Linked DNA regions of Lonchura striata. The protein of the gene in region 1 purifies or fractionates together with the protein of each later gene. This does not show direct contact. Links are inferred from orthologs where the notes say so. Each region holds a gene or a part of one and is shown in the gene's direction. Other genes may lie near its edges.

Evidence for each region.
Region 2: the proteins of CAMKV (region 1) and RNPS1 purify together in Homo sapiens (affinity purification with mass spectrometry; 3 studies listed by BioGRID and IntAct, counting the BioPlex papers as one, with this or other methods). This does not show direct contact. The link is inferred for Lonchura striata from reciprocal best matches to the Homo sapiens genes CAMKV and RNPS1.
Region 3: the proteins of CAMKV (region 1) and AHCYL1 purify together in Homo sapiens (affinity purification with mass spectrometry; 3 studies listed by BioGRID and IntAct, counting the BioPlex papers as one, with this or other methods). This does not show direct contact. The link is inferred for Lonchura striata from reciprocal best matches to the Homo sapiens genes CAMKV and AHCYL1.
Region 4: the proteins of CAMKV (region 1) and PNN purify together in Homo sapiens (affinity purification with mass spectrometry; 3 studies listed by BioGRID and IntAct, counting the BioPlex papers as one, with this or other methods). This does not show direct contact. The link is inferred for Lonchura striata from reciprocal best matches to the Homo sapiens genes CAMKV and PNN.

What each region holds. Positions count from the first base shown.
Region 1 is NC_134614.1:7,446,865-7,454,178, reverse strand, and holds the start of CAMKV (caM kinase-like vesicle-associated protein), read left to right. Parts: upstream 1-4,308; 5' UTR 4,309-4,426; intron 4,427-4,869; exon of another isoform or gene 4,870-4,964; intron 4,965-7,314. UniProt on the Homo sapiens protein: Does not appear to have detectable kinase activity.
Region 2 is NC_134618.1:1,871,269-1,878,997, reverse strand, and holds the start of RNPS1 (RNA-binding protein with serine-rich domain 1), read left to right. Parts: upstream 1-4,720; 5' UTR 4,721-4,767; coding exon 4,768-4,769; intron 4,770-7,729. UniProt on the Homo sapiens protein: Part of pre- and post-splicing multiprotein mRNP complexes. Auxiliary component of the splicing-dependent multiprotein exon junction complex (EJC) deposited at splice junction on mRNAs.
Region 3 is NC_134632.1:1,192,489-1,200,418, forward strand, and holds the start of AHCYL1 (S-adenosylhomocysteine hydrolase-like protein 1), read left to right. Parts: upstream 1-4,919; 5' UTR 4,920-4,998; coding exon 4,999-5,103; intron 5,104-7,930. UniProt on the Homo sapiens protein: Multifaceted cellular regulator which coordinates several essential cellular functions including regulation of epithelial HCO3(-) and fluid secretion, mRNA processing and DNA replication.
Region 4 is NC_134608.1:23,809,295-23,816,979, reverse strand, and holds the start of PNN (pinin), read left to right. Parts: upstream 1-4,678; 5' UTR 4,679-4,755; coding exon 4,756-4,868; intron 4,869-5,145; coding exon 5,146-5,217; intron 5,218-5,874; coding exon 5,875-5,943; intron 5,944-7,059; coding exon 7,060-7,132; intron 7,133-7,215; coding exon 7,216-7,310; intron 7,311-7,685. Other genes in the region: TRAPPC6B (trafficking protein particle complex subunit 6B), read right to left, coding at 877-960, 2,425-2,542, 3,568-3,635, 3,716-3,796. UniProt on the Homo sapiens protein: Transcriptional activator binding to the E-box 1 core sequence of the E-cadherin promoter gene; the core-binding sequence is 5'CAGGTG-3'. Capable of reversing CTBP1-mediated transcription repression.

The sequences.
Region 1 (7,314 bases):
TGCTTGTTAGCTGACAAGTCTGGTGTGGTTACGGTGATGTGCGTGTGGGCGGCCCCTGCTTTAGGCTGCCCCCCTCCCCCCACGAATGTGCTTGCAGAGATGACAGATTTCATGCTAATCCACATTTATCCTGCCCTAATTACGCTGCGGGAGGTGAGGAGTGAGCACCCAGACTTCCATGCCAGGGGCTGGCATGTGCCCACCCCTGTCCAGTGCTGCCTGACGCTGCTAGCTGGGACTGGTACTGGCACCGTGCCCACCGCCACGGCACCAGGGACAGGCAGGTGACCTGTCAGGGTGGCATCTTGCATGGCACCTGGCACCCCTGCCGCAGCTGGGGGGTGCCTTAGAGGGGCTACCTGGACACCCGCAGGTGGGCACTGGGTGGCGGCACCCTGAGGTGCTGTGTGGCTGGGTTTGGTTGGTGCAGCCCCGGGCTGAGCTGTGGGCAGGTGAAGCCGTGCCAAGCGGTGCCAAGCGGTGCCAAGCCACCTCGTGCCATGCCCATCCGCCACGGCTGCGGCAGAGCAGCCGGCGTCCCATCCCGGCAACGCGCCGTGCACACACAGCACTTTAAATGTTTTATTTGGGGAAAGTGCTGTCGTTAGCGGGGATTAATTATTAAAATCGGAGCCATCTATAAAACATGAGTGGCCGCACGCGGGGCTGCGGGTGCACAGGCAGAGCCGGGCACGGTCCCGCCACCGGCATCGCCCGGGGACCTGCTGCGACGGCGGTGATGCCGCAATGGCACCTCCACCGCAGGTTTGGGCTCCTGGTGGCAAAGCGGGTGCAGGCAGCCAGTGCCACGGGGTGGGGGCTGGACTGGAGATGGGCAAAATTGTGCTAAATCAGTGTTTGGGTGAGGCGGGGGTCTCCGGTGCCAGCCGTCCCGGTGAGAGGTGGCAGGAGGCAGCAGGCAGCGCCGAGCTGTTTTTAGCGGCTGCCGGTGCTGGGGAGCGGGCGTGAAGAGCAGCCGCGGCACCGACGTGCCATTTTTAGAAACCGGCAAGTTTTGCTAATGATGCCTGTGAGCGGCGGGGGGGCCGCACCCCGGCACCCCCAGTCCTGCTGCCCGCAGCCGGCCCCGCAGCCAGCCCTGTCCTCTGCCCTCCCCGCCCGGGGCCAGATCCTGCAACTGGGGCACAGCCCGGGGCACCCCTGCACCCACTTGAGGCTCTGCTGGCCCCCAGAGAGCTTTGATAGTACTTGGGGAGCTTCAGGGGCCCCTGGGAAGCTTTGGTAGCCCCTGAGGACCTTCCTTGGTCTCTGAGGAGCTTTGGTGGCCTTTGGGGAGCTTTGGTGGTCCCTGGGAATCTCTGTTGTCCTCTGGGGAAATCTGCTGATCCCCAGAGGAGCTTTGCAGGCACCTGGGGAGCTCTGCTGTCCTCCAGGAAGCTTTTCTTTACCCCAGAGCCTTCCAAATTATATGACACATCTTTTTCTTCTTTCTCTGTCCCTGAGACAGCACTGGACCTCAGCTGGGGAGGCTCACCCCATCCCAGCACCCACTCAGGACCAGTCCCAGCCATGTCCCAATCCTGGTCTTGATCGTGGTCCTGGTCCTTTCCCCTGGGGACAGTTCTCTCCCTGAGCTCTCGCCCTGAACAGCCTCCCTGCATCTTGGTCCCTATGGCTGCAGGTACTGCCAGAGGCCCAGGGGACCCAGAAGGTCTTTCAGTGGGAGGGGGAATCAAACCTTGATGCCATGTCATCACTGTAATGCTGGAGTACACTGTGGAAAACAAGCCCCTTTTCCCCATCAAGGTTCCAGGGACGAGAGCCAGCCCTGGATGTGACAGGGACCAAGCCAGTGGAAAGGTACAAGGCTTTTTGTACTGTCATCGACACAGGGACAGCCCACATCAGGAGCAGGCTGGCCAGGGACAAGCAGCCACAGTCAGTCGTGCCCAGCCAGGTGTGGGCAACCCTGTCCTCACACACAGTGTGGTCACCAACTGGGATGGGCTGGCGGGGCTGCGGCACTGTGGGGGACAAAGTACCTGGTGGCAAAGCTGAGTGGCTCTCTGGCTGTGTCCCTTGACGCCTTCCAGGGCACATGGGTGCCATGGGACACCTGTGGGGAGGGCAGCTCTGCCACTGTGCGCCCCCATTGCTGCTCATCCCATTAAAGGGCCAGGGGTGGCGAGCAGCAGCTGCACCGCCTCTTTTTCTCTCCCCCTTGCTCCCCACCGGCCCCCCGAAAGAAGGGATGGGGTTTATTTGGCCCCGTTGCCGGGCCGACGTGCGCAATTATCGCTGATTGCCTGGCGGTTGCCATGGCGATGGCAAGCACGCAGGGATGCGGTGCCGCGTGGTGCTTGAGTCACGGACACGCTGAACACCCCCCACTGCACCCCACTGCACCCCACCGCAGACACGCCGAACATGCATCCCACTGCACCCCAGAACAAACATGCTGAGCACCCCCCGCTGCACCCCACTGCACCCCCCAGCACCCTCTGGGCTGGCCCTCCATCCCCTTCACCCTCCTGGGGCAGGGGGATACAGCAGCTGTCCCCCAGCTGAAGCAGGGCAGTATGTCCAGGTGTCCCCCACCCCCTGTCCCCCATCTGAGGCAGGGCTGTACAGCCAGGTGCCCCCAGCCCTGGCAGCCCCACCTTGGGCATCCCAGGCTCGCTCTCTCCAGAGGCGCTGCAGGAAAAATCACCCCAGGGCAGCCATGGCACCCCACACGCAGCTCTGGGGTGTAGTGGGAAGGGGGTGGGTGCATGGGGCAGCGGGACACGGCACTGTAAGGACAAATGCCATTGGGGTCAGCAAAGCTCATCACCCCAAAATGGGGCATGGAGTGGACCAAGATCTGAGTCAGAGTCAGGACCAGGAGGGGATCACAGCACAGTGATGGGACCCTGTGGCAGTCCTGCCACAGGCAGGAGACTGGTGCCAGGAGGTGATAGGCACGAGCCGGGGTCAAGGGACAATGGAGAAGTGCCACCACATCCCTCATGCTGCAAGCCATCACTGGGCAGCCCCGAGCCACACGGGTGCCTGCCGGGTAATTATGGCTTACGCTCTGGGTCCCCGCGAGGTGCAGAGATTAATAACTGTGGTGCGCTGCTGCCAGCCAGTATGATTAAACTCTTGATTAGAAGCTCAAACTACAGTGCCCTGCTAATTCCCCCTGCTCTCACACACCCTTAATCACCCAGCACAGGCGGTGATAGGCCTGGGGCTGGCAGGGCTCGATGCCACACAGGGGACGGGTGCTGGGAGCACCCCAGCTCTCCCTTGGAGTGCTGGCTGGTCTCCAGTGAGCAGAGGGGTGAGGCTGGCTTTGGGACCCTGGTGTCCCCTATCCATGGGCGGGAGAGGGCTGTAGGTCCCGTGAGTGGATGGCCACACCCTGTGGCAGCTGAGGACCTCAGGAGGTGTGGGGAGCTGGGGTCTGGTGGGTGCAGGGGCGGGAGGGGAGGGAAGTGGGGGTGCAGTTTGGAAGCAGCACCATATGGGCAGCAAATGCCAGTGTGTGGCACGCAGCCCTTGGGGAGGCTCCGTACACGTGGCTGCACTGTGTGAGGAGTGAGGGGTGAGGGGGCCCGGGAAGGGACTGGTGCCCTGTTGTGCCCTGGGGACTGTGCTGCCCACCCCAGGCTGGGTCCCGTGTCTGGGATGTGGGCAGAGGTAAGAGAATCAGGGTGGCCGATTTCTTGTCCCTTTCTTGTTCCTTGCCCCATGCTGTGGTACAAGGACAAACCCTGTTATAGGCAAGTGAGTAGAGCCTTCGGCCCTGCCCCTGGAGGAGAAGTTGCCTGGTTCCCACTGGATAACAGCACAGAGGCAGGAACATGTGTCTACCGTGTCCTCACGGCACCTTTTAGTGCCCTCAGGGGGCAGATACCTGTGACGCTGAGCCCACGCTCAGCTTTGCTAAAATCCTGCTCCCATCCCATCCCGCCCCGTCCCGTCCCGTCTCGGGCCGGGCCGGGCCGGGGGCCATAGCACAGCCCAGGGGATCCCGGCTCCCCCCATAGGGCACACTGTGGGGTCCCGTGGGGTCTCTGGTCCCACGGTGTCCCGGGCCCCCGGGCAGTGGCGGTGTCCCAGCTCGGTGCAAGCGCCGGGCCTCGCCCACGGCGGTGCGGTGGGTGCCAGCGCCACGCGTGACCCGTCCCCACGGGCGGGGCGCGAAGTTTGGCGGTGACGTCAGGGCGGGGCGGGGCGTGCGGGGGGCGTGGCCCCGCGGTCCCGCCCCCCCAACTTGCCGCGCCGGGCGCGCGGGGCCGCGCCGCACGGACCGACGGCAGGGCTGGGATCGGCTGGGATCGCTGGGACCGGCGGGGATCGGCTCGGCTCGGCCCGGCTCGGCCCCGGCCCGGCGCGGGAGGGCGGGCGGGAGGGGCGCGCTCCCCCCGAGCAGCGGCCCCGGGCCGCGGCCCCCCGTTGCGGTCGGAGAGGCGTGCAGGTGAGCGCCGCGCCGCGCCGGACCGGGGGCGAGGGGGGCCGGGCCCGGCGGGGGGGGGCGTTGCTGGCATCTGTCACTGTCTGGCCTGGGGCTGACCCCAGCTCTCCTCCCAGACCCCGGTGGCCCGGGACGTCCCGACGGGGCCGCGCGTATCCCTGTCCGGTGCGTGCGCGCCCCGACGGCTGCCCGCCGCCGCACTGCCCCCGCCGGCACCCCGCGTCCCGCAGACCCCGAGCCCCGACGGACGCCGTGGGCACGGCGAGCTGCCGGAGCCCGGCTCCCCCCGCGCCTCCCCGCTCGCCCCCCCGGGCCGCTGCTGCCCTGGTGCCGCCCCCGTCTCCGCGAGGAGCCCGGAGAACCGGGCCGGCACCGCTGGAACGGATGCTGCCGGGGAGCCTCTCCCCGTGCCCCCACCGCCGAGCATCCCCTCCCGGACCCCGCACCTCTCTCTCCCGCAGTCCGCTCCCTTCCCGCTGCCGCAGCGCTCCGAGCCGGCCAAACGCAGACCTCCCTGCGGTGCGCGGCCCGGGCTGTCCCTCCGCACACCCCGGGCCGGGGGCGGTGGCACTCCCCCAGCCCTGTCTCAGCCCCAGCCCGGCGGCTCCGCGGGCAGCGCTGGGCCGGCCGGCCCCTCCGCCTCCCCTCCGCCTCCCGCTGCCTGCACTAGCAATATTTCGGTCCGTCTTAGCCCGGCTGCGTTTTCTGCCTCTCCCCGGTACATCCTTCCCCCGGGACGTGGGGGCGGGATGGCAGGGGGAACCCCCCACGGACATGTCCAGGGCAGCTGCAGGTGGAAGCGGGGCAGGAGATGAAACACCAGCCAGTGGCACCTCACGCCGTGGGGCAGAGCTGGGGGTCGGGGGTTGGGGGGCCCCGCTGGCGAGGGCTGCACGGCTGCGTCATCCCTCCGTGCCATCCCCACCCGGCCACCCACTTCCCCGCTATTGTCTTACACCCGCTGTTGCTTCTGCTCCCAAATTAGACTCTTGGAGGGGGGTGCTGGCTGCGTGCGGGTGCCAGTGCAGCACCGAGCCTTCCCCCTGGCACCCCGGGGAGGGAGCACTCATCCCTTTGCCCACCTCTCACCTGGGTGCCCCTGCCCCGGTGGGGGTGCTCTCACCTATGGGGTGCAGGTGTTGACCCCGATGGTGGGCTGGGTGCCAGCCTCCCTTGCAGGGTATCCCAGGTGCACTGAGCCCCTCGAAGACAGCCTGGGGCAGGGGAGGGTGGCAACGCTCAGCCCTGGCAGGATGGGTGGCCACTAAACCAACGGGAACTAATTTTATGAGCGCAGATTAGCTGAGTGCTCTCATAGACAGCAATAAAATCCCAATATATCATCCCACCCGGGTCCCCTTCCCGGCTAATCCTGGCACCATGCTGCCAGTGCTGGCAGCCTGCCCATCCGCCAACCAGCCCTACCCCTGATGATCTGTGGCACTGAGCCCACCGCCCCTCCAGCAGCTGCCAGGACAGCCCTCATTCCCCTTAGCCAGGTAGAGTGGCACGGCAGAGCCGGTGTCGTGTGGCATGGGGACACAGAGGTGCCAGGCAGAGCATATTTGCTGGGAGAGATGCTGGGATGAGTCAGGTGTAGGCTGAAAAACCTCATCCAATCTAGGGCACAAGCAGTGGTGTCCCATGGGTGCTCTTCTTCTCTTTTGGGACTTGGTGCACGCTGAGCAGGATTAGGCAGGTGCTCTTACTCAGTGCAGGCTTTCCTGGCAGGACGGTGCCTGGGTGCCTTGCAAGCTGGGAGCATCCATCCTGTGGGCATTGCTCCAGCAGACACAGAGACAGGTCAGCCCCAAAGGATGGAGGCAGGAAGGAGCATCCCCCCATTCCCTGGCTCACTGCACTCATGTCCCACCCAGGTTTGGGTCAATCACCCCAGGGAGCACTTAAGTGCATGCCCTGGGTGCTGCAGGCAGCACGCCTTCCTCCCAGGGCCTGCACGGCAGGGACGGGGCTGTGCACCTGCAGGTGGGTCGGGTGCTGCCGGGTGCTGCCCGTCCCTGCCCCCTCCAAAGGATGTGCCGCTTTCTGCATCTTCAGCTCCCATTGCCATAGCAACAGGCTCGGCGCTTGGGTACCCGCGATGCCGGCTCCCGCATCCCGCATCCCGCAGCCATCCTGCCCGCAGCCCTCGCCACCGGGCCCCGGGCGCTGCCGGTATGGCACAGCCAGGCCCGTGCAGCACAGCGTGGTGTCCGGGGAGCCTTAGCGCTGGGCAATGGGTGCCTCCAGCATCGTGCCACCTTCCCATCACAAGGTCCCACTCAGGCCCATCCGAGAGGGTTGGGGGCCCCAGGCAGCTCTGTCATCTTCTGAGCCATCAAAACATAATGTCAGCTGAAACTTCCTCCCGCTAACACGGTGGGAAAGTGTTTCCCAGCGGGAAAGGGGAAGAAATTACTTTCTGTGATCAATTTTTTTTTTTCTGGGAAGCTTCCAAGAAGGATCTGGTTTTGAAGAGTTCCCAACAGGGAAACAAGGGGCAAAGCATCCTTCCTAAAGGGCTGGAGAAGCTGGCATCTGCCAAGGCTGGTGTCCTGACCGCTGCCCGTGGCAGGAGGGCTGGCACCTCCGAGCTGCAGTGCCACCTGCCTGGTGCCACAGTCAGGGCTGGTTGGGGATGGCAAGCTGAGGCTGGTGTAACCCACTGCACATGTGACAACGTGTGACAATGCTCTGCCTGGGGAGGCCCCATCTGCTGAAATGTTACCGTGGGCAAGACGGGGCTGAGAAACAGGAAAGGATCCGTTCACCTCCGCTTGCCTCCCCAGTGGGTGCTCCAGGCACTGTGCTAACCCTGACTGCTAATTAATCATTAATAATTCACAAACAGGGCCCAGAGGGGGAAGCTTGTGGCTGTGCTGGCAGCCTGA
Region 2 (7,729 bases), on another chromosome or scaffold:
AGCCCAAAATCCAGAGGTGACCCTCAACGTTTTTACTTGGTCTGACAAACTCAGCATGGTTGTGATTCTGTACCTGGTGGAGGTTGGGTATGTATTAAGAAATTATTTGGAGCATCCAAACATGATATTAAGGCAGAACCACGGCCTGAAGGAGTAAGATGCTTTCACAGAGCATCTGGAGGCCTTTGGGAGAGGAGCAGGTTAGATTTCACATTCTGGCTCCAAAATCTATCTTTGCCCTCACACTGAACAAATGCATCAAGTAGTATTCAGACAAGAATAATAAATGCCAAGTATCTCACTGTCCTACCTCTACCTGTGCCTCTCTGTAAAGTGTTATGTACTTTGAGTCACTGCTCTCCACAGACACAGTCCTTCCAGCAGAGAGAGCTGCACTGGCAATGCCACAAGCACATCTTGAATTTCTAGTCTTTCACACACCTGAAGAAGAAATAAATAAATCACTGCAAAGTGGAACATAGTATTTATTCCTTGTGGTGAAACCAGGACGTTTGACTAAGTTTAGCATTAAGCAGGTATATTCCTATAGCATCAGGATGGAAGAGTGTTGCAGGAAAATGAGCATCAAGGCACAGTTTTTAAGCTAAAAGCCCTGAAAGATACAAATGTATGCACTGACACATCCAGAGGCAGATAGTCATGAAGCCCTAAACCTGTTCATAGCCTAGCTACCAGTGTGCACTGCAAGAATAGCCTTAGACCTCAAGAGAGTTCAGAAACTACTACAGATGGCTTAATAGACCTGTAAGTATTTCAACTAAATTGCTAAATTCACATCCTTCTGCAGATTAGAGGAAAATCCCAAAATCTCCTATTTTTGTTGTTCCAAATCAATGTAGCTACTCAACAAAGCAGCCAATGGAAACTCTCTCAACTTCCTGCAATGACAACGAAGGCTGTTTCTACACATTTGGATGAAAAGTTTCCAAGTCCTCTGAAGACAAATGCTCCACCCTGCAATTCCTCTAAGGAAGCCACACAGACCGTGCCCTCTGAAGCCACACACACATCTACCCCTACTCTCATAGAAGTGCCATACTCCCATAGGGAGTAACAGACTGAACAGGGAGGCAGACCAAAGATCTCCCAGCACAGGAAAAACACCAGCATCCAGAGGCTGTGGGCTGAGCCAGTGCTGCAGTGCAATCCCCACAAATGCAAAGGCACAGGGTGCTCACACCTCACCATGATAAAGGAATGCCAGTGTTGCTGTGAGCAGAATGACCCACTGATCGCCTGGATTTCCGGGGCCTCAAGGAGAGCTCTCTAGTCGCCACCACAACCCAAAGCCAATTAACAGGAAGGACAAATGAAGCGCCAGTTGCAAGTCAGCGCAACACACGGGACAAGCGCCCTCAGCCTCAGGCAGCGTTTAGAGACAATCAGCCCCAACCCCACTGGCACCGGAGCAGAGCAGTTCACCTGCGGAGGTGGCTGGAAATAGTCTGTCCTCAGCAGAAGCCTGGGAGTGCAGGAGGGAGGGGAAAGAAAAGCACTGAAGTAAGAGCCAAAAGCAGCACTCACACAGCTCTGTTATTTCATCTCTTGCTCGTCCACCAACACATGGGCAGTATCTAAAGGAATCTGCACTTCGCTGGAAAATTGCTGGGCAGGCTTCTGAGTTCAGGAAGAGCCTGGAGGACAGCACTTCTGATTGGGCGTGCCACTCCCAGCTCCCACACCGAACCTCCGCAGCGCACAGCCTCCGCACAGCCGGGGCCCCGGAACCCTGTCCTGCTGCACACTCCCTGCGCTGGCACCTCTGCCGGGAGTTCTCTCATCCTTCCCCACGCCACTCCCAGCACCCAAACCAGCTCAATGCACGGAAGCAAATGGGCAGAGCACCCACGTACAGGGACTCCCGACGGCTGCCGGGGTCCTCTCAGGCGACGGCACCAACTCGCTGCCGCTTTCTCCGGTGGCCGGGACCAGCTAGGTGCCAGCGCAGCCCAGCTCTACCGCAGCCAACTTTCCGGGAAGCGGCTGTTTGAAAACCTCCCGTGGTCTTTGTTTGGTTGGGGCAGAGCCAGCAAGGGCTGCTGGGAAGGTCACCCAGGAGGACACCGACGTAGAGGCAGGGCGGGGCCCTCCTCGTAACCCTTTCGGGGCAGCCGCGCTCCGGGGCCGCCGGGAGCCGCGTCACCTCGGGGCACGGACCCGGCTGTACCGTCCCGGAGCACGGCCCAGGGGTGGCTGGTCACACCTGCGCAGAGGATGGAGGACAAGCCTCACGGGAGCAGCGCTGCCGTCCCTACAGGTGCCCTTCAGCCCTGGAAGCACCAGCTCGATCCCTGCGGGGGATGGTGGCCGTGCGGTGCCAGCCGGGCTGCTGGCAGAGCGCAGAGGCCACAGCTGGGCCATTCCTCTGAAACTGAAGCAGACGCGTGCTTTGAGCTATTCTCATCTCTGCCAGTGTTCCCACATGAGATGTTAAAATGTCTCTCCTCGTTCGGGCTTGGCTTAAAGGCTCAGTCCTGCCAGCTGCTGGCAGCCCCTGGAAGCAGATCACACCCCCCACACGCTGCCACCACCGTCCTGGCGCTCTCAAATCTTCAGGACCCTGCTTCAGCTAACAGCTAGCAGCAAGCCTTTTTTACAGTACTATTATTTTTCTGCTGGGTCAGTGACCTTACCTGCCCACGTCTGGGGGGGATGAGAGTTGTTATGAGAATAAGGGTGTGCAGGACTTTGGGATCAGTTAGCCTTTATGGCTTTGCTATAACTGAGAGAGGAAAAAATGTTAAACACTGTGAATGCAGATAGGTGGGCATTGGGCTCTGCTCCTAGCGAACACTGGACAGGATAAGAAGAAATGGCCTTAAGTTGCACTAAGGGTGGTTTCCTTTGGATATGTTGTAAGTACATATTATATTGTTGGCTTCTTGCAAATATTAAGATCAATGCTGTATGTATAATGTTAAAATAACTTTGCTTTTATTTCTGCTATTAACAAAAATTTAGACATAGTACTGATAGCTGATACAGTTATGAGTGAACTGTCTGTTCACTCAGGATAACATCCAATGAAGATGTCATGAGGACCCTACTACTGATATGCCAACTACCAGCATCTGCCATCTGAAGAAAATATGGACCAAAGCCCAAACTAGAAGTGACAAAGAGAACAGACCAAAACCACAGCCAAGAAACATTCATGCTCTAAAAAGGCGGACCCAAGGAGGGCCCATGCAAAATAGTTCCTGGAATTGTTTATGGGAAGGTAGTTTATGGGAAAATATGACTATGCATAAGAATCTATGAATATGCACTGAAAAGGTATTTAAGGGGTATCTCCAAAGATAACAGTGTGCTCTTGCCTGAATGCTAAGCACCTGGCCGTTTTTAACCCTTTACTTTATTTCTGTCTCCTGTCTTTTTATTAAACTTTTAATTAAACTTTTATTAAACTTTAAATTAAAATTTTACCAGGAAAGTGAACCTCATTTTTCACAGATATTAGGGAAATACTCCTTGCAGAATGGGTGGTCAGGCACTAGAAGAGGCTGCCCAGGATAGTGGTAGAATCACCATCTCTGGAAGTGTTCAAAAAAATATGTAGATGTGGCATCTGGGGACATAGTTTAGTGGTGGCCTTGGCAGCACTGTGGGAATGGCATTGGAATTAGACTCAATGATCTTAGAGGACTTTTCCAACCTAAATGATTCCATGATTCTAAGCTCATCATGACAGTCTACTAATAGTGCCCATTTGACATAATGCAGTTTCTCATCGAACCAATGTGAACTTTTAGTAGACTACAAAATTGCCTGTGAGAGAAATCTGCCCTTAAACAAGATGTTGTGGACAGAAGAACAACTTCCTTTTTGCTTTCTTGGGGTTTTGTTTGTTTTCTTGTTTACTGAACCTGTTCCATGCCAGGTTTTATGTAATACCCCTTGATTTTGCAGCAGAACGGAGAATAAGTCTGTTTTTCTTGTTGCCACACACGAATTTAAAGATACCTGCCCTGGTCTTGCTCATGTCCTGTGATGGAGGTAGACAGGACATATCCTTCCACTGCATTCAAGAGGTGAAGCTTCCATCATTAGGAATTTAACAAACATGCCTCTGGCCATACACATAAGCAGATCGACACACCTCTTAGAAAGATCTGTCACTTTTAAGGCCCTGTATTAGGGATGGGATCAAAATACACTTCTGGCTTTGTTCCTCTCAAGTCAAAAGTCAGGCAGCCAATGTGGTGACGTCAGAGGTTCAGTGTCTGCAGTGGCAAATTCCCTTTTAAGTTCACAGCAAACACATTTGGCAGGGATATCCGTCCCACATGACATGAAATGCCACTGTATGGTGCTCCATCTTAAGTCTTTCATTCTCCTCTTCCCAATTTTCTTGCAGTTGAGAGGGCAAATCCCCGCACAGTAGTGCCATCCCTACACCCGCCACCACCTCAAATCAGAGTCTGTGCGCTGTGTGAGCCTGAGGCAGCGTGGGCCAGAATTCACGTGTGGGGGCTGCAGCCTACTGGGTTGTTAAGCTTTTAAAACCCAGAGCTGAAGCCCAAGCTGCTACTGTCATTACCACGGCTATGCAGGACAGGGTTTGCAAGAACCTTTACGTCAGCGGCGGGGGCAGCAGCAGCCGCCCCGCCACCCCGCTCCTGCTCGCTTGAAGCCCGTCCGCCCGCCCCGCCCCCGCTGTGACGCCATCACCGCGCGCGGCGCCGCTCCTTCCCGCCCGTCGCGTCAATCTCGCGCGACGAGCGCGGAGCGGCGGCGGGGCCGAGGATGTGAGTGCGGGGCGGGGGCTGCACCATCCGCGTCCATCCGGCCGGGCCGTGGCCCGACCGGCCCCTCCGCCGCGCGGGGCACCGGGGGGAGTGCGCTGGGGCTGCCGAGAGGCGATGGTGGCGCGAGGGTCGGGGATGGGGTCTCGGAGCCGTGGCCAGAGGCGGGGAGGGCAGGGGAGGGAGAGCCGGGGCGGGGCCGGCCGTGGAACCGGGCCCGAGTGTCGGCGGTGCCGCGGCCTGGCCTACGGGGAGGAGCGTTGTGCAGGCCCGAGGGACGGGTTGCTGTGCTGATCTCGCGGGCCCTGCCCCACGGGCGCCATACCGCACCCACGGCGGGCGGATCTGGCTGCCCCGCGCTTCGCCGGCCGCACAGCTGGGCCGAACGGCCGTAGTGGACAGAGAAGTGCCGGGCGCCGAACCCTCTTCACACCTGGAATTCTGCCGGTTTGCAGCTGAAGACCTGGAGCAAACTGTCAGTAAAGAACTCGCCTATAGCCTTAAGGGAAGCCTGAGGGCAGCGACTTTACTTCTTTTGCAGAGAACTGCTGCTCTGAGTGTGCAGATTCTGTCTCTAAAGCAGAAGTATGTGTGAGATGGGTTTGTGTAGATTGCAATTTAGACTTTCTGTTGTAGGGTGGATGCCCCTAAACCAGCTATTTTTTAGACAGTGAGAGGTTTTTGATTATAAAGATGAAGCATATAGTTTAGAGATGCAATGTTATTTAGCCTCGTGTGAGGACTGTGATTTATTCTTTCCTCATTTTCCAGTGAATGTCTGAACTTGTGCAGGTGAAAATGCCCTTGTGTAGGGTGAGGTTTCCAACTAAAGTGAGTATGGTCAGGGGCATTCCTGAGAAAGGATTAAAACCACTGGTTAGTTTGGAGACTGCTTTAATGTAGCATCATTTGGTGAATATTCCAAAGCTATGTGGCTGATCTGCCTGCTAAGTGCCTGTTCTAAGGAGCAGTAAGCAGGGAATCCTGAAAGGAGATTGTAGCCAGGTTGGGGTCAGGCTCTTCTCCCAGGCAATGGGCAACAGAACAAGAGGACACAGTCTTAAGATGCACTGGGAGGTTTTGATCAGACATTAGGAAGACTGTCTTCACAGAAAGGGCAGTTGGGCCCCTGGAAGGGGATGCCCAGGGAGGTTGTGGAGTCACCATCCCTGGAGGTGCTTATGGAAAGACTGGATGCAGCACTGAGTGCTCTGGTCTAGTTGACATGGTGGTGTTGGGTCAGAGATTGGACTTAATGGTCTCAGGTCTGTTCCAATGTAATTGATTCTGTGATTCTATTTCCTGCCTCAGCAGCAGGCTGGGTAACAGCAAACATGCTGGTCTTTATCTGTGTTTCCGTTTCCCTTCTCCCAGAAGGGGTAAACCAGATCTGACTCTTGAACACTAGCAGATAGTTTTGTATGCTGATAACATTATGACTTTGATAGTCCACAGGTGCAGGAGGAACTGATGTGTAGGCAGAGATAAACCAAACTTGGCTATGGGGTATTTAGAAGAAGAAAAATGGGCTATGGGTAACCTACTTGCAGCCTTCAGTACCTGAAATGAACCTATAAGAAAGATGGAGTGAGACATTTTACAAGGGCCAGGAGAAGGGGGAATGGCTTCTCACTGACGGAGGGCAGGTTTATGTTAGAGATTAGAAGAAAATTCTTCCCTGTGAGGGTGGTGAGGTCCTGACCCAGGATGCTCAGAGCAGCCCCATCCCTTGAAGTGTTCAAGGCCAGGTTGGAGCAACTTGGTGTAGCAAAGACCATAGTTGGGGGGTTGAAAAGTGATGAGTTTTAAGGTTTATGCCTTCCCAAACCAGTCAGCGATTCTGTGATTTTATGAAAGGAAAAATCTTAGGTTCCTGGTTTCACAAGACCAGAAAACCTGTCTGTTTTGTACCACCCAGCTGGGCTCATGCAGTGGCTTTACAATCTGTATGCCCCTCAGAGCTTGCACTGGAGAGGCACGGAGCTGGATAGAAATATCCTAAAGCTGAGTGATATACACAGGTTTGCTTGTCTTGGATCCCTTTGCGATGCTTGTGGGACAGTCCATAACTGCTTTCTTCCTGCCGCTGGTGCTAGAGGAGGCATTTCCTTTCCCAGCAGCTTCTGCCAGTGGCACATCTGTGGTGTGGGTTTCTTGTCCTCCATGTAGAAAGGCCATGGGTGTTTCTTGGTTTCTGCAGGGAGCTGGGTTTGTGAATAGTCATTTGTGTTGTTTCTTGCAGTTGGTGTATTAGGGAAAACTGTGAAGCTGAAAATCAGGAAAGCAAGTTTGGCTGTTCAGAAGTAATCTCTTCCCAACCATGCATTTAATTGCAATTCAGAGAATAAAGTAATTGCTGATCAGAAGCACAGAAGGAAAAAGATTGTTTGATGCTGTGAGCTGGTGAAGTTTTTTTCTTGTTCACTGAGTTTGCCTGTGATGTACATGGGGATGGAGATGTTTCCAATATCCCACATTACAGTGCATATTTGGTGCTGCTGCAGATAAGGCTGGCAGCTCCAACAAGCTTCTACTCATTCCCGGGATGTTTAATTCTTTGGTAGTTGGGAGTGTCACATTCCTTTAAAGGTTATTAAAATGTTAGAGGCAGATCTGTATCACAGGTTTTAAATGATCCCCATGGAATAATCAAAATGCTGCATGTTTATAGATGTTGCAGATTTTGTGATGGATGCAGCCTCATATGGTAGACATCTGGAAGTCAACTAATGCCCAGCATTTCAGTGCTAAATAGAGAGGTGTTAAATCTGTCTCCTTTTGGAGCTAGGGCAAAGAGGGAACTGGTTCTCTTAATCCAGGAGTTAGAAGTGAGATGTGAGACATGGGGCCCATTCTGTTGCTATGGATATCTCGGAAGGGGAAAAGGAGTTACTAGGATTGAAAAAGAAGAGGTTGCTAGAACTTTTTCTAAAGTGTCTGGAATTGCCTAATGCTTTAACTCC
Region 3 (7,930 bases), on another chromosome or scaffold:
CCTGAGACCCCCAGCCCTGACTTGCAACTCAAACCCTCACACTGTGAATATTTAAAGCCCACCCGTGCCCGTGTCCCTGCACGGGGCTGGGTTTGGGGTGACCCTTGGCACCATCCCAGTCCCTCCCCATCCTCCTGTTGTTAGGGATCATTTGTTTTTTTTCATAGAATGGATGAAAGTCTTTATCCTGCACAAATGTTCTGGGGGGCCGTGTGCCCCTCACGGGGTCCTCGCCGCGAGCTGGCCTCGCTGGGATTCCATTTCTTTGGTGGCTGCGCTTTGGAGAAGGGAATGGGGCTGGCAAGGATGGGATCCACGTGGGTGTAAGAGCTGGAAGTGCCCCCGCTGGGCACCCTGGGGCTTCTTGGCACTGCCCCGCTCCCGGGCTTTGGGAAGAGCCTGGTTTGGGATGCACCAGCCCTGGAGATGCCCCAAAATCCAACGGCTCCCTCCAGCCCTGGATGAAGCGTGGCCCACGCTGCTCTGGGAGTTTCAAGCATTATTTTTATATGAAGGATGAAAATATGGACAAACCCGACTGTTTTTAAAGAAAGCATCACTATTAATTTGGGGTTATATATATATGTATATATATATGTGTGTGTGTATTTATGACTGGCAGAAGGAGGGGGTTCCTGGGCGAGGGACTGGTGTAAATCAGGATAAAAGCCCTGATGCAGCAGGAAGTCTGGGGCCAAACTCCTGGTGGTGTAAGTCACCAGTTTACACTGTGGAGGAGCTGCTCCTGGGGGAGAAAACTTGCCTTTACCCGTGTTGGATTTATTTTGCCTTTTTTTTTTTTGTTGTTGTTGTTGTTTGGTTGGGGCTTTTTGTTGGTTTTGGGATGTCTTTTTTTTTTTTTTTTTATACAATGAAATCCTGAAATATTTTATACAAAGGCATTTAAAAGTCTATTTAAAGAAAATAATGGAAAACAACTTGTATATTTAATATTATTAATAAACAGAGATGTGTAGCTTGGTGTAAGTCTGGGATGCAAGGGGGGACTGGAGATTGTGGCTGCCCTGTCACATCCCTGGGGTCCCTGAGGGGGTGACTGGGGCTGAGTCCTGGTGGTTTTACCCTGACCTGCTTCCCTGGGGATGCGTGTGGGAGTTCGTGGCCACTGCAATGAGGGCAGAGGGATTCATCTGCCCTTCCTGCCCCAGCTCTGCCGGCACCGCTGAGAGCTCCAGGCACCGGCTCTGGTGCTGTGGCCCCCCAAAATCTGTGTGAATGGTTGGGAAGCAGCTGTTTAAAACAAAGACACTTGAGGCAAAGTTTCCTGGAGCACTTTGCTTAGAGTGACAGCACTGGAAGAGGCATTTCCTCCCCCCACATCGCTCCCCCTGCTTTCTTTCCTTCTTTCCAGGAGCAGGGCAGCCCCATACCCTGATCCAGCGTCTCCAGGGGGATGCCAGGGGGCTCCCCATCACCCTGGGTCCCTACCAGCCCATGGGGTGTGCAGGGTGAACACCCCCCCTGCTCATCCGAGGGGGGGGCAAGGGCAGGAGGGGTCTAGGAGCTTTCTGTGAGTGCCAGGGCTGAGCTGCTGCCTTGTTTGCTGACAACCAGGATTCCTCGAGGGGAGCTGACTCAGCCCAGCCCTTCCTCTCCCCAACAGCAGCCGGGGGTTTCCCAGGTCCACATCCCCTTCCCAGGGAAGTGGGACCTATATATATCCTGCTGGATCCGTGCCACGGTCATTATGGTCAGATTTGGGGGGTATTTGAGGCCGGAGGCTGCTCTTAGGGGTGGGCACCGTGCCCGGGTTTGGGGGTGCTGAGGGCAGCGAGTCCCTGGCCTGCTCCAGGATGCTCCAGGGTGCTCCAGGGTGCACCAGGATACACCAGGCAGCTCCACAGCTGCACAGGAGAGGGTGGCTGGAGCTGGATGAAGGCAGCTTGAAGCTAAGGCAGAGCTGGGGGGCAGAGCTGGGGGGCAGAGCTGGGAGCATCCCAGTTTGCTGGGCGGTGTGGGGACCACCAGTGCCCACCCCTCTGTGCTTACACCTCGCAGTTGCTCATCCCTGACTTTTTCTGGCTGCTCTGTGTGCTGTAAAAGCATCTGGAAAATGCAGGAAAAAAGCCAAACTGTCTCCCTGCCCTCAGGTTCGGGCCAGGAGGGTCCCTGTGCTCCTCATGTTCCCAGCTGGTGCCTTTTCCCCACCCTGTGTGGGAGCAGGGATGTGATTCCCTGCCCCGGGCACCTTCCACCCCCAGCCCCTGCAATCTGGGGGGCAAAACCTGCTCTCAGCCCCCCACTCAGGAATCCCATGGAGCTACATCCCTGTCCCTCAGCACCTGAAGGGGAGGGGAGAAAAGAACCCCCCATCCCAGGATTGAGTGGGGCACTCGGGGGTCCCTCCGGGGGTCCCAGATGGGTTTGTACTGCAAAAAGGTGCTTTGATGGGATGAGAACAGGGAGTTTGGGGGAAAAGATGGATGGTGGGAGGGGAAAGCATTGACAAGAGGCTCAGGGGACCTGAAGCATGGGCTGGCATGGAGTGACTATGGTCACCAGCACCCCCCCCCCGGGGGTCCTGGGGGTCCCCACAGCCCTGCTGCTTGTGGCATTGGCAGGGCTGGGACATCTCTCAGGCTCATCCCGTTCTCCCGAAACCTCCCAGGCACTCGGAGACCCCCCCAGATGTCCTGAGACCCCTCCCAAGAGCCCCCAGAGAGCTCTGCCCACCCTGGAAGCCTCCCCAGAGCCGCCGCGGGCACCGCAGAGCTGCTGACGGGGCAGAAGCAGCGGAAAGGCCCCGGGGCCGCGGTTCCCGGGGCACGGCGGCTCCGGGACAGGGTTTTGGCCGAGGAACTGCTGCAGGATTTAGGTGGCCAGAGGCCCATTTTGTGGCCAGACAAAGCGGTTTTGGTTAAAAACCGTTATCTGCTCTTTCCCCTGGGGATTTTAACCCACACGCTGATTTTTTTTTCCCCAGGTTGTATTTTAAGGGAGCAGCCCCGGGGAAGTGAAGGCGAACAGGGCTCAGAGCCCTCCCTGCTGCTGGGGGGCGTTTGGGGATGGGGTGGTCCGGGCTCAGAGCCCCCCGCCTGTCTGTCTGTCCTGGAATGGCCCCTAGAGCCCGTGTGGGACTCTGCGGAGCCGGGAGCGCTCCGGGATGCGGATGCGGCCCCTCAGTGTCCCTGGCCCCGGGGACAGGCTGGCTGTGACCCTCCCGGGAGCGCAGGAGCCGGCAGAGCCCGCTGCGGGGCGGTGAGCAGCAGGAGTGCGGGAGGAAGCCCCGGCCAGGCTCAGCACTCCCAAAAAGTGCTCAGCACCCCCACGCTGGGCTGGGGATGTGGGCGGGTGATTCCGAGCCCCGGTGGCTCCGCTCGGCTCGTTAATGGGTAACGAGGGCCGGGAGGCGCTGCCCCGAGCCCGGGGGGCTGGCACCGCGGGGGTTAACACCGCTGGGATGGGCACCCACAGCTCGGGACCTGGGGATGGACACCCAGAGCTCCGGGACCGGACACACACCTGGGGATGGGCACCCACACCTCCGGGACCCGGGGATGGGCACCCACACCTCCGGGACCTGGGGATGGGCACCCAGAGCTCCGGGACCGGACACACACCTGGGGATGGACACCCAGAGCTCGGGACCCGGGGATGGGCACCCACAGCTCGGGACCTGGGGATGGGCACCCACACCTCCAGGACCTGGGGATGGACACCCACAGCTCCGGGACCTGGGGATGGGCACCCAGAGCTCGGGACCTGGGGATGGGCACCCACAGCTCGGGACCTGGGGATGGGCACCCAGAGCTCGGGACCTGGGGATGGGCACCCACAGCTCGGGACCTGGGGATGGGCACCCACAGCTCTTTTAGTGTCTATACTTATTTAGAAAAATTGTATATAAATTAATATAATTTATGTAATACGCTTATATAATTCAGTAATTTAATATAAATTCATGCACACCATATATATATGCATAAAATTAATGTATAGAAATTTTATAGCTTTATAATAACTTAGAAATGTAAATATACATAACTTATAGATATAAATAAATTAACATATTTTGCACATTTATATATAATTAATATTTAATTTATGTGGTTGCTATTTAATGCATAAAATTAATCTTAATAATTTTTTCATTTAGTCTAAGTAAGGAATTTAATTAGTTTTAATTTAAAAACTAATTAAAAACTATTTTAACTAAAAAACTAATTATATGCATATATAATTATTTATTAATTAGATAATGAATTAATGATGAATTAATTATATATGAATTATATATTAATTACATATTAATTATATAATTATATGCACTACATAATAGTACATATTATATGATATATTATAGAAATTTATATGCAATTTTATTTATGTTATATAATTATTGTGGTTAATTGGGATTTGGCCCGCGCTGAGGTTCCTGACCACGCCCCCCTGAGTGACCACGCCCATCACAATAACCACGCCCCTCACCGTGACCACGCCCCCTGAGTGACCACGCCCCCTGAGTGACCACGCCCCCGTTGGCCCCGCCCTCGTTCCCGCCCCTCAGCGCCCTCCCCTCCGTGTCCGCCAGGGGGCGCCCCGCCCCTCGCCCGCTCCCCCGGCGGCGCCGCGCGGCCTCGGCAGCCCGGCGGATGACGTCACGGCGCGGTGACGTCAGGAGGCCCCGCCCCTGGCGCGCCGGCCGCAGACCCGCCGCAGGCAGCGCGCCGGCGGCAGCGAGCGACCGAGCGGGACCGGCCGGGCGAGCCGAGCCGAGCCGAACCGAGCCAGAGCTAGAGCCAGAGCCTGAGCCAGAGCCGGGCCGAGCCAAGCCAGAGCCAGAGGCGAGCCGGGCCGGGCTGAGCCGAGCTAGAGCCATAGCCGGGCTGAGCCGAGCCGAACCGAACCGAACAAAACCAAACCCAGCCGGGCCAGAGGCGAGCCGAGCCCGCAGTGCTCCCGGCCCCTCCGCCGGCCCGTGCCCCGTTTGGTCCCGCCGGCGGCCGCGGCCCGCCCCGCGTTCCCCGCCGCACCAGGATGTCGGTGCCGGAGCCCGCCGGCGGCGAGGAGAAGCAGGCCAAGGAGGTGGAGGACGCCGAGAAATATTCCTTCATGGCCACCGTCACCAAGGCCCCCAAGAAGGTAGCGGGGCCGGGACCGGGGGCTGGCTCGGGGTGCAGCCCCGGCTGCCGGCGGAGCGCTGTGCCGCAGGGGCACGGGCTGTGCTGGGCGCGGGGAGCAGCCTCCTCCCGGCGGGGGCGAGCAGCCCGAGCTGCAGGGGGAGCGGGGCGAGCGCCCGGTCTGCGGCGGGACTGGCCCCTGGCGGGGCATGCAGCCTCCGCTCCGGGCGGGGAGCAGCCCCCGGCCGTGGGGAGCAGCCTTTGGTTGTGGGGAGCAGCCCCCGGCCGTGGGGAGCAGACCCCGGCCGTGGGGAGCAGCCCCCGGCTGTGGGGAGCAGACCCCGGCCGTGGGGAGCAGACCCCGGCCGTGGGGAGCAGGAGCCCCCGGCCGTGGGGAGCAGCCCCCGGCCGTGGGGAGCAGCAGCCTTTGGTTGTGGGGAGCAGCCCTCGGCCGTGGGGAGCAGCCCCCGGCTGTGGGGAGCAGACCCCGGTTGTGGGGAGCACCCTCAGCTTTGGGGAGCAGCCTTTGGTTGTGGGGAGCAGTAGCCCCCAGCTGTGGGGAGCACCCCTCGGCCATGGGGAGCAGCCCCCGGCTGTGGGGAGCACCCTCAGCTTTGGGGAGCAGCCTTTGGTCGTGGGGAGCAGCAGCCTTTGGTTGTGGGGAGCAGCAGCCCCCGGCCATAGGGAGCAGCCTCTGGTTGTGGGGAGCAGCCTTTGGTCATGGGGAGCAGCCCTCGGCTATAGGGAGCACCCCTCGGTTGTGGGGAGCAGCAGCCCCCGGCTGTGGGGAGTACCCTCAGCTTTGGGGAGCAGCCTTTGGTCGTGGGGAGCACCCCTCGGCTGTGGGGAGCAGCAGCCCCCGGCCATAGGGAGCAGCCTCTGGTTGTGGGGAGCAGCCTTTGGTCATGGGGAGCACCCCTTGGCCATAGGGAGCACCCCTCGGTTGTGGGGAGCAGCCTTTGGTCGTGGGGGGACACGACCGTGCCCCGGCTGTGGGAGGAGCGGCCCCACAGGTGTGGGGCTGTGCTGGAAGGCTGGAACTGACTCAGTTTGATGGATCAGTTTAACTGGGAAGTGGGGCTTGTCCCCATGCAGTGGCAGAGAGGGGGACTGGCGAGGGGGCTGGGGGTGGCAGGTATGCCCCAGGGGGCTGCTGGTCCAGTTTGGGTGGGGAGGGAAGGGTTTGGGTGCTGGGGAGAGAGGGGTCTGTACTGGGGTACAGCCCTGGCCCGCATGGGGGTGAGGGGAGGACCAGTACCTGCAGGGCAGGTTCCAGGGGGCTGGGGCCAGCTCGGGTCAAGCCCTGGGGGCAAGAGCAGGGCTGTGGCATAGGGGGGATGCAGGGGGACAGGGTGACCCCGGGAAGGGGACAGGCAGGGTGGGCCCCTGGAATGGGACTGTGGCGTGATAGAGCTTTGTGGTGGGGACAAAGCAGGAGGGACCTGTCATATGGGAAGAGCCAGAAGCAGCAACCTGGAATCCAGCTGTGGGTCACTCAGAAGGGTGGCTGAGAGATTTCAGAGTGTTGAGTTTTTTTGGGGGCAGGTTCTGTTGGAGGTGTGAGTGGGAGCACCTTTGGGCTCAGGAAGAGGCTGCCGAGTCTCCTCAGTGCCCCTCCATGCCTGAAGGCCTCACAGGAGCTCTGAGATCTCCCGGTGCTGCTCCCACACCCCTGTGGGGTGCTCAGGCGGCACTGAGGGTGGGCGAGCGCTGGTCTTGCCCCTGAAGCAGGGTTCAGGACCCCCGTGACCTGGGGAGCTGGCCCTGAGCTCTGGGCTCAGTGCTGAAGTTTCAGCACGGTCAGGGAGGCAGGTCTGTGTTCCAGGCACTGCACAGAGCTGTGCAGCTGAACATTGCGTTCCCCTCGGGGCTGCAGCCGCCTGGAAGCGGTGGAAGCAAAGGCGGAGCAGTCACAGAAAATGGGAACATCCTCCTCCTTCGGGGGAACCTCTCCTGCCTGCTCTGGCCACGGCTGGGACTCGGGAGTGTCTGGCCCTTGGGGAAGGTCAGCTGGATTTGAGGTATCTTCTCTCCCAGGGAGCAGGGCTTGAAGACTGGGCCCTGTTTGTCTGGGCTGTGGACATGGCCTGGAGGAACGAGCAGAGGAATGTGGGGCTGGGATCTGCCTCTTCCAGCAGTGGCTCAGCACAGCTTCAGCTCAGGAATTGTTTTTACCTTTTCATAACCATCATCTCTGTCAGAGCTAACAGCAGGAGACTGCTCCAAGGAGACAGCAGGCTGCTAATCCTGTAGCATCCCATGGAACCAAAACACCTGTGGTAAAAGAGAGTCCATTGAGCATCCTCAGAGGCAAGTTTGCCATCCTCTCAGGGGGGTGAGATGTATCCCCAGAATTTTCTGCTGCAGACTTGACTGTGCAGCATGAGGAGCCTTGGTTGGACTCAGTGGCTGCTGCAGCTTTTCCTGGCTGGGTGAGGATATTGAAGGTGCCCAGAGCGACACACGACATTTGAGGCTGATAACATCAGAGATGGGGAGCGAGCTGAGCTGAGCTCAGGGAATGAATCGCTCCGGGCTCCTGTTTTCCTTGCCTGGCTAGTTCCTGCAAATAGTGCTGGGGAACAGCAGAGGCCTTGGCAGGAGGATGAAAGACCAAGGAAGGGAGAATTGCTCTCCTGAGATAAGCTGTTGAGTGCCCCCAGCTCTGATGCCTCAGAACATGATTGCAATTAAGCCATTAAAACGCCCTTCTGATTCCCTGCAAGTCAAAGTGGTTTTTGTGCCAGCTGCCCTGGACCTCCTGGCATGGTTAGAGGTCAGTGGAGATGGTGGAGAGAGATGATTTACCAGCACAGAGGTGGGCAAGATAGTGCTGTGCTGCTGAAGCA
Region 4 (7,685 bases), on another chromosome or scaffold:
ACTTTGTCAGGTCTCTAATAGATGAAACCTCCAATATTTGGTAGAGTGGAGCTTACTACACAGATTGTTCTCATTAGAGGCAGTATTCTGAGTCACCTTCTCTTTCCATTAAGCCTGTAGGAACTTAATATCCTTAAAACAATTATTCCCAAGATTTGGCTAAAATTAGCAACTGGTAAGAAAAAACAGTCCAAGACAGCATTCTTGTGCAGGCCATACCTTAGAATACAAGCACCTGCAGATATTTAAAATATGTGTTGCAAAACAGAATAAATATTTCACCAAACACACAAAAAAAATCCCAAAGACAGCAGCCAGTTGGGAGACTAAGATCAAGAATTAAGAAACCATAAAACAGAACTTAATGTCTCATTTTTTAATCCACCTGAACTAAAGTACTCTATGATAGGTTATACAGAGCTATTACCATAACTCAGTATCTGCACTCAAAACTATTTTTAATTGGTAGATCTTTCTGAATGTTCACATAATATCAGAGGCTTGTTTTATGTAACAAATAGCATCATCCAAATATGTTTTGGGAATTTTAAAGGTTTCTGAAAACATGCTTCCCAAAGAGAAAGAATCTGTGTGACACTGGCAGGTAGTGGCAGACAAGCACCTGCACCATGAAGTAACTCAAGTGTAACAGCAGCAAGTTGCACAACAACTATGACCATTTTTCAAACTATAAATCAACTCCACTGTTCTAAAACAGGGTGCCTTTGTAAAAAGCACACAGGCTCTGAAAGCATATCTTTAGGTGCTCTTTAGAAGAATTTGTATCTATTTAATTACAAAATTTAAAGTTATTAATAGATCAAGGTAATTAAAATGAAACTGGTAGACCCTGCCCCACATAAAATCCAAGGGTACCTTTGGTGCATGCTCTAAATACTGCTTTCCTGCAGACATTTGTGTCAAGAGACGGAATTTATTGTCTTGAAGGACATAAATACCCTGTTTAAAAAGAGAAAATTGAGAGGTTTAATTAAATGTGCAGTAATATAAACCCCACATTTTCTGTGAATGGATTTGATTTGTAGATAAAATATATAAGGTTGAAAAATAAAATTTTAGATTAAGTCATATGTGATTTAAGTTTAAATTGCATTATTTACTTGCAAGGAATATCAAAATAAAATATTCTTAATTGTGAATATACAAAAAAACTCTAGATAATAACATGATCAGTTAACCCTAAAAAATGTTTATGTACATTTCTTCTTGGAAGAGTACTTCCAGTGATCAGAAAAAAATAGTTCTATATTACAAAGTCTCTGGTAATATATCAAATGCATACTGGTTTTACATTCAAATCTTCATCTTCATTGGGTTTTGCACATCTCTATTCTTATTCTCAAATTCAGTGGGGTATTACTTAATAGCAGTACAGGCAACAACACCCAGCAGACAATCAAAGTAAAGGTCTGGTGTTTTCTACAATACAATTTTGTGCAACAATAGGCATCTTAATAAATTAAGTATAAACTCAGTATAGCTTTATCTACACCGGTCATATTAATTTCCTTGCTAATGTGCTACTTCGGAATTTCACAAGCCTTGAACTTAAAATAAGGCTGCATATACAATTAAGACCTTAAGCTCAATACTACAGCTTTTTTGAACTAAATCCCCAGATTTCTAAAGTAATAATTATCTCTTATTACGTGATTAAGTCCATGTAAAATAAAACCTATATATTCATCACAATCCTTGTACAAATCCTTTTCTTCCCAATTTGACACAACAGGGAAATGGCTGTAAGAAAACCAAGTAATTCAATTAGGAAAAAGATTTTTTAGTCTAGTAAAATGGCTCCTTAAGTTATTTTGATCTGTCTTTAAGAACTCTGGCTGTTGATATAGGAAAGCACATGGATACAGTACAATGTCACCAACAGGCAAATCTGAGAAGTTTCTCCACTGCTTCTTATACAAGTATTTTCAATAGATTACAACTGTCTCAACTGCTGAAAACTCTTAACATTCTTCAAAGTAAAAAAGTCAATTCACTGCAGCTATTCTATTTAAATAAATGCTAAGAGAGTAACATCACTTTTTCACTATTTTTCTACTAACATTTATTAAGAGACAGATTTAAAAGTTCTTGTTTAAATGTTCATCAATTGTAATCATTACTGTCCTTTCTGTCACACTGCAACAGTGCATATGAAATTCAAAGCATTTAGTCTTTTCAAACAGGGAGGCAATAAAGACATTATAAAGGCAATTACTAAATTGTATTCTAAAGCTACATGATAATATGAATATTGAAAAACACACTTTTTAAACAAAACAAATATGGAACATTTTGGATTTCTCATCTGGTAATTACTTCTGACCAAGCAAAACAAAAAATGCACTAGCAACTCAAAACTCTCACCAATTTTCTACATTAAATCTTAATCTTCAGCATTAATACCTGGTGATTAGTCCTTAGGTTATCTATTTGTTTCTTGAATACCGTTGTCCAAAAATCTTTGCAAATGAACTTCATAATATCTAATTCATCCTTGAACCTGGCAGTGTCTTTTGTAAACCTAAGAGAAAAGTGAGATAACACTGAGTGGTATACATAACCTGACCAATTTAACATAGAAATAATTTTTAATGGTACTATACATAATTTTTGAGGTTATTATAGAAATTAGTTTTCCAGCCATCGTGTAGTACCATTCTACCCTCACTGTCCATTCATCAAATATTTTAACTTGAGCAACAAAGTGTTATCTTAGTATCTGCAATATGATAGCAGAATATATTGTTTTAATTCCATAATTATCAAACATAGTTGACATACAGAAAGGTGGAAAGTGCTCCATCAGTTTTATCTTCAACAAGGTATCAAAACAGAAGATAAACAAAATGCTCACACCTATACTACTTATTGGAAGAAGTCCTTCAATTAGGCAAAACAGCTCTAACATAGGAACAAGCATATAAAACTTGTTCCCATTTTTCAGGAGGGACTTCTTTCTCTTGCTTATTTCAGACTTCTCTCCCTTTATCCTCCTTGAGGGTCTTTATCTGGCAGTAAAGGACCACTTTATTTAAGAAAAGCACGACTTCAGAAACTCGAGAGTCTCCACACGACCTCGGAACGAGGGCGCCGGTCCCCAAAGAGCCCGACCTGCTCAGTCGCGGAGTCGCAAGCGCTGAGAGCACTTTACGAAAACTAAATAAGAGTAATAGCCAATCATAAAATTATACTTAAGAAGTAAATCAGAAAAATAATGAAGCAGGAACTAGAAGTACCAGAAGCAGGAAACATACAAAACAAAGTAGAATTAAAGATAATTTTAAGTACTAAAAGTAACCATGTACCCTGACTCGGTTTCCATGACGGGAAGCACTAGGAAAACAATACACTCCAAAACTGTCTCATGATACACAGGCACAGGTCCCCACAAGAATGAGATACAAAAAGAGGAGATGCCAGAACAACTGATGGTTAGAGGAACGCGCTCTCCGCCCAGCCAAACCACCACACTTTGCCCGGAGGTGTGCTTTACCGGCGAGGCGAAAGCCCCGAGAAGGAGCAGCGGCTGCCAGGGCTGGCACTCACCTCTCGATGAGCCCCTGTCCGACGCGGAAGCCCATGCTCTCCAGCTTGGTGGTGCAGCGCCCGTTCTCCTGCAAGACACAAGGCGCCGCGGCCGCAGCGTCAGCCGCGGCCACCGCCGGGCGGCCCCGGCGGCCCCGGCCCCACTCACCCCTTCGCCCTGCTCGGCGGCGCGGTACATGCCCGCCACCATCTCGCCGTGCAGCAGCAGGAACAGCGCCTCGTCCGCCATCGCCGGGGCCGCCGCCCCTTCCGGGCGGGCCGGCCAGCCGCGGGAGCTCCCGGCCGAGGCGGGGCGGCCCAGCACTGTGAGCCGGAGCTCTGGGAAAGGGGCTCTCGGTTAAGGCTCTGCAGAGTCTGCGGACTCGGGCGCTGCCGGCAGCCGGGGATCAAACGCGCCCCTCCTGCGGAGCTGCCCCGCCCACCCTAGTGCTGGAGCCAGGCGGGGCGCCCGTGTGTCGCCGCCTCCTAGACAGCGCCCGTGCGTTCCCCTGCCCGCCGCGGGGAGCCCCAGAGCGACGTCGGCTGCAGCCGGGGAAAAGCGTGGTTTAAAGCCTCGCCGCCGCCCCGGGCGCCACGGCTGACGCGCACTGCGGAGCTTCCCTGCCACGCCGCTCCGGCGGGATGCGAGGGCAGGAGCGACCCCGGCACGCGCCGCCCGTCAGGCCGCCCCCTCAGCCAGCGTCGAGTAACAGCCCCGTCTATTGGCTCGCCGGGCACAGGCGCCTCTGGTAGCGCAGCGGTGATTGGCCCTCGCCTGAGTCCCGAGCGTGCCGGCGTCTCGGCCCCATCGAGAGTGGGAAAGCAGGATGCGCCCCGGGTGGGTGGGAACAAGCGGCCTCGAAGTGGTTTTCTGATTGGGCTACAAGGAAGTGACGTTTGAGTTCTTATTAGTCCTATGCCACGTCACTCCGGCGGTTCCTTTAGTATCCGTCGAGTAGAGCCTTCCCCAGTTGGGCGGCCGGGATGCCAGTCTGCCCCTGGGCTCTGTGATTGGGCACCGCTTCTGGCGAGCCACCTGGGGGGCGTGCCCGTTCCTGTCGCGCCCGGTGATTGGCGGTCGGAGGGGGCCCCCGGGGCGCGATTGGCTGCGCCGTGCGGGCCCGCGGCCGCCGGAGTGGGCGGGGCCTGTTCCCCCTGTTTCCCAGCGCTGCCTCGCGCGGGGCCCGGCCAGGCCGCGCGGCGGGCGGGATGGCGGTGGCGGTGCGCGCTCTGCAGGAGCAGTTGGAGAAAGCCAAGGAAAGCCTCAAGCACGTGGACGAGAATATCCGCAAGCTCACGGGCCGGGACCCCAATGATGTGAGGTGAGGCGGGGAGCACCGGGCGCGCCGCGGTACCGCGAAGGAAGGGCCGGGCGGCGGTGGGGGGGGCGGGCGCGCGTCGGGCCTGCGGGGCGGGCGGCGCGGAGCCGGCCGCGGGTCCCGCGTCCCTGTGCGGGCCGTGCCCGCCCCGCTGGTGCGGGATCGGGCAGCTCTGTCCCGCGGGGCTGGGGCGGAACGGCCGCAGGCCCGTTGGGCCGGGCGGGCAGCAGCGCCCCGGGGCCGGGCTGGCACCGCTAACAGCGCTTACCGTCTCTTTCAGGCCCCCTCAGAACAGGCTGTTAGCCCTCGCAGGCCCCGGTGGAGGTAGAGGGCGTGGGAGCTTATTGCTAAGGTAAGGAGGCGCGGAGCGGACAGTGGAGTTTCATCCATCCTTTCCCTGGCAGTGGCTCGTGAGCGCGTTCCTCGTTTGCTTCCGCTCATCGCTGCGGTACTGTTTGAGTGAGCGCCAGAGCTGCCCTACAGGGCTTCGGAGGTTAAGTTTAAAGCGCCTTTTCATTTTGAGTTGCTACAAGCCTAAATGGGTGGTTTTCCCCCACCTTCTCAGCCGTTAGGCTGAAAAATAAGGGGAAACGTCAAAATAAAGGGAGGTGTTGTGTGGTGGCTGGGACCTTGTCTTTGAAATCGTTCAAAATCAGTCTCTTGCTGGTTAAAAAACTGGTAGGTGCTCTAAGAAGGATTTTAAAACATATGTGGATAAAAACACATCCTGAAAATTAGTGCAGGTAAGATTGTTTGAACACGATAGGATGCTTGTTACAGCAGAGCTACTCAGTTAAATAAGTGCAGAAATTCAAGGTTAAATTACATGGTTCACAAGCAGTGTGTTAGAACATTTCACTGCGGTGCTAACAGTAAATAGTGATAGAGCTGAGTAAAGTTTATGTTTAATCATGACCATAAAGCAAAATTTTAGTTAAATTGTGCACACTTGAAGTGCTCCAGGGATTAACCTAAACTTGTTCTAAGACCGCAAGCGTTTTGTTTTTAGGCGTGGATTCTCGGATAGTGGAGGAGGACCCCCAGCCAAACAGAGGGATCTTGAAGGTGCATCCAGTAGGTGAGTGCAAAAACTAATGCAGCCTACTTGCTTTTCAGAATGAGAATTTGTAACAGTAAACCAAAAACTGGAAATAACTGGGGACATTCACTGTCTTCTTTGGAGATTGCTTACTGAAGACTTGTTGGGAATAATTTGGGTGACAGCAAATCACGTGGTGAAATCTTTTTCATACCTTAGAGCAGCATAAAGGTGGTAGCAATAATATAAAGATGTAGCAATACAAAGATATCTGTAATTTTTTTGTTTTATTTGGTGTACATTCTGCTATATTACATTCTTTTTAGTTATGACATTTGTTTACAGTGAGCAAAAATTGAATTATGACTGAGACCTGTTGAATAAATTGAGTATAGGCAATATGACCATGGACTTGGGTTTTGGGCTTTCACATCTGGTTGCAAATCCATCAGATGTGATTGATAATAGTGAACTCAAGTGCTGTGGGCACTTAATGTGTAGTGGTAGTTCTTGACCAAAGTAAAGCTTACTTTGGAATTTTTGAGTTAGCAGAAAATGAAGCTGGGAAGCAGGACAGTAATGCTGTGCTTACAAAGCTGAAAACAACTTCAACTTTAATGATTTATTTTAGGATTTATTTTATTTAAATTATTTATTTTAAGTTGTTCTTTGTTAAAGCCTTAGTTCATTCATGCCTTAAGTGGTAAGCCCTCTGCCTCTCTCCAATAGGTATTTGGTAGGTAACTTGAACAGCATTTCCTGTTTAAGAAATTATACCAACCTTTCCATGTCAATGCATTGAAGTCTGTCTAGTGATCCCTTTATACCAGTCGCCATTTTAGAGATTTCTGGAAAAGCACAAACATTTAAAAGAATGAATTACAAGTGTATTTTAAGAAGTCAAATATGATGTTTGCAGGTTCTTCTGTTCTTATTACTCAGCAATTTGTATTAAAATTTAAACTGTCTGTCTAATTGATTTTCAGCAATAATAGATTCTGTCTGTAAAATGTTACTTACTGGTTGTTGGAACAGTGGGGAGATTTTCACCGAAGTGTTGGTTCTTCTGACTAGACATGCTTGTATTTTTCTCATGCTGAAAGAGATTCTCTCCTAAACACATGTTCTCTAATGACCACTGGCTTTCTTCCTCAGGCTGGGTGGAGAGCGTCGGACAAGAAGAGAATCACGCCAAGAAAGCGACGCAGAGGATGATGATATTAAAAAGGTAATATATAGTAAATGGAGCTGTGCAAGCAGAAACGTACCTGCAACACGATCAACAAAGTAGTTTGTTTTTCATTCTTGTAGCCAGCGTTGCCATCTTCTGTTGTTGCTACCTCCAAAGAGCGAACACGTCGAGACCTTATACAAGATCAAAATATGGATGAAAAAGGAAAACAAAGGTATGCAGCAATCTTTTTTAAACTAACTTTTGAGTTCTGCCATATAAAGTAGCTTGTGATTTAAAAGATACTGCACACAAGCTGTTGTGGATCAAAGATTATGTTGAAGAGTTACCATTATAGTATAAAATGTAATTTAAAAAGTACTCTGAAAATACTTCACAAGCAGCATCATGTGCATTGTTCACATAACTGACATGGATTCTACTTTTCAGGCCACCTACAGGAGCAGTTTTGCTAGTGCTAGTGTTTTAACATCATTTGAGTAAGACAGAAATATCTGTAGCTTCATTGGTTGCTTAATGTCTTAGATTATTACAGCTATCTTGGCTCATCATTTATTTTGTTGGTTGAAGTAGGGTTTTGAATATGGTT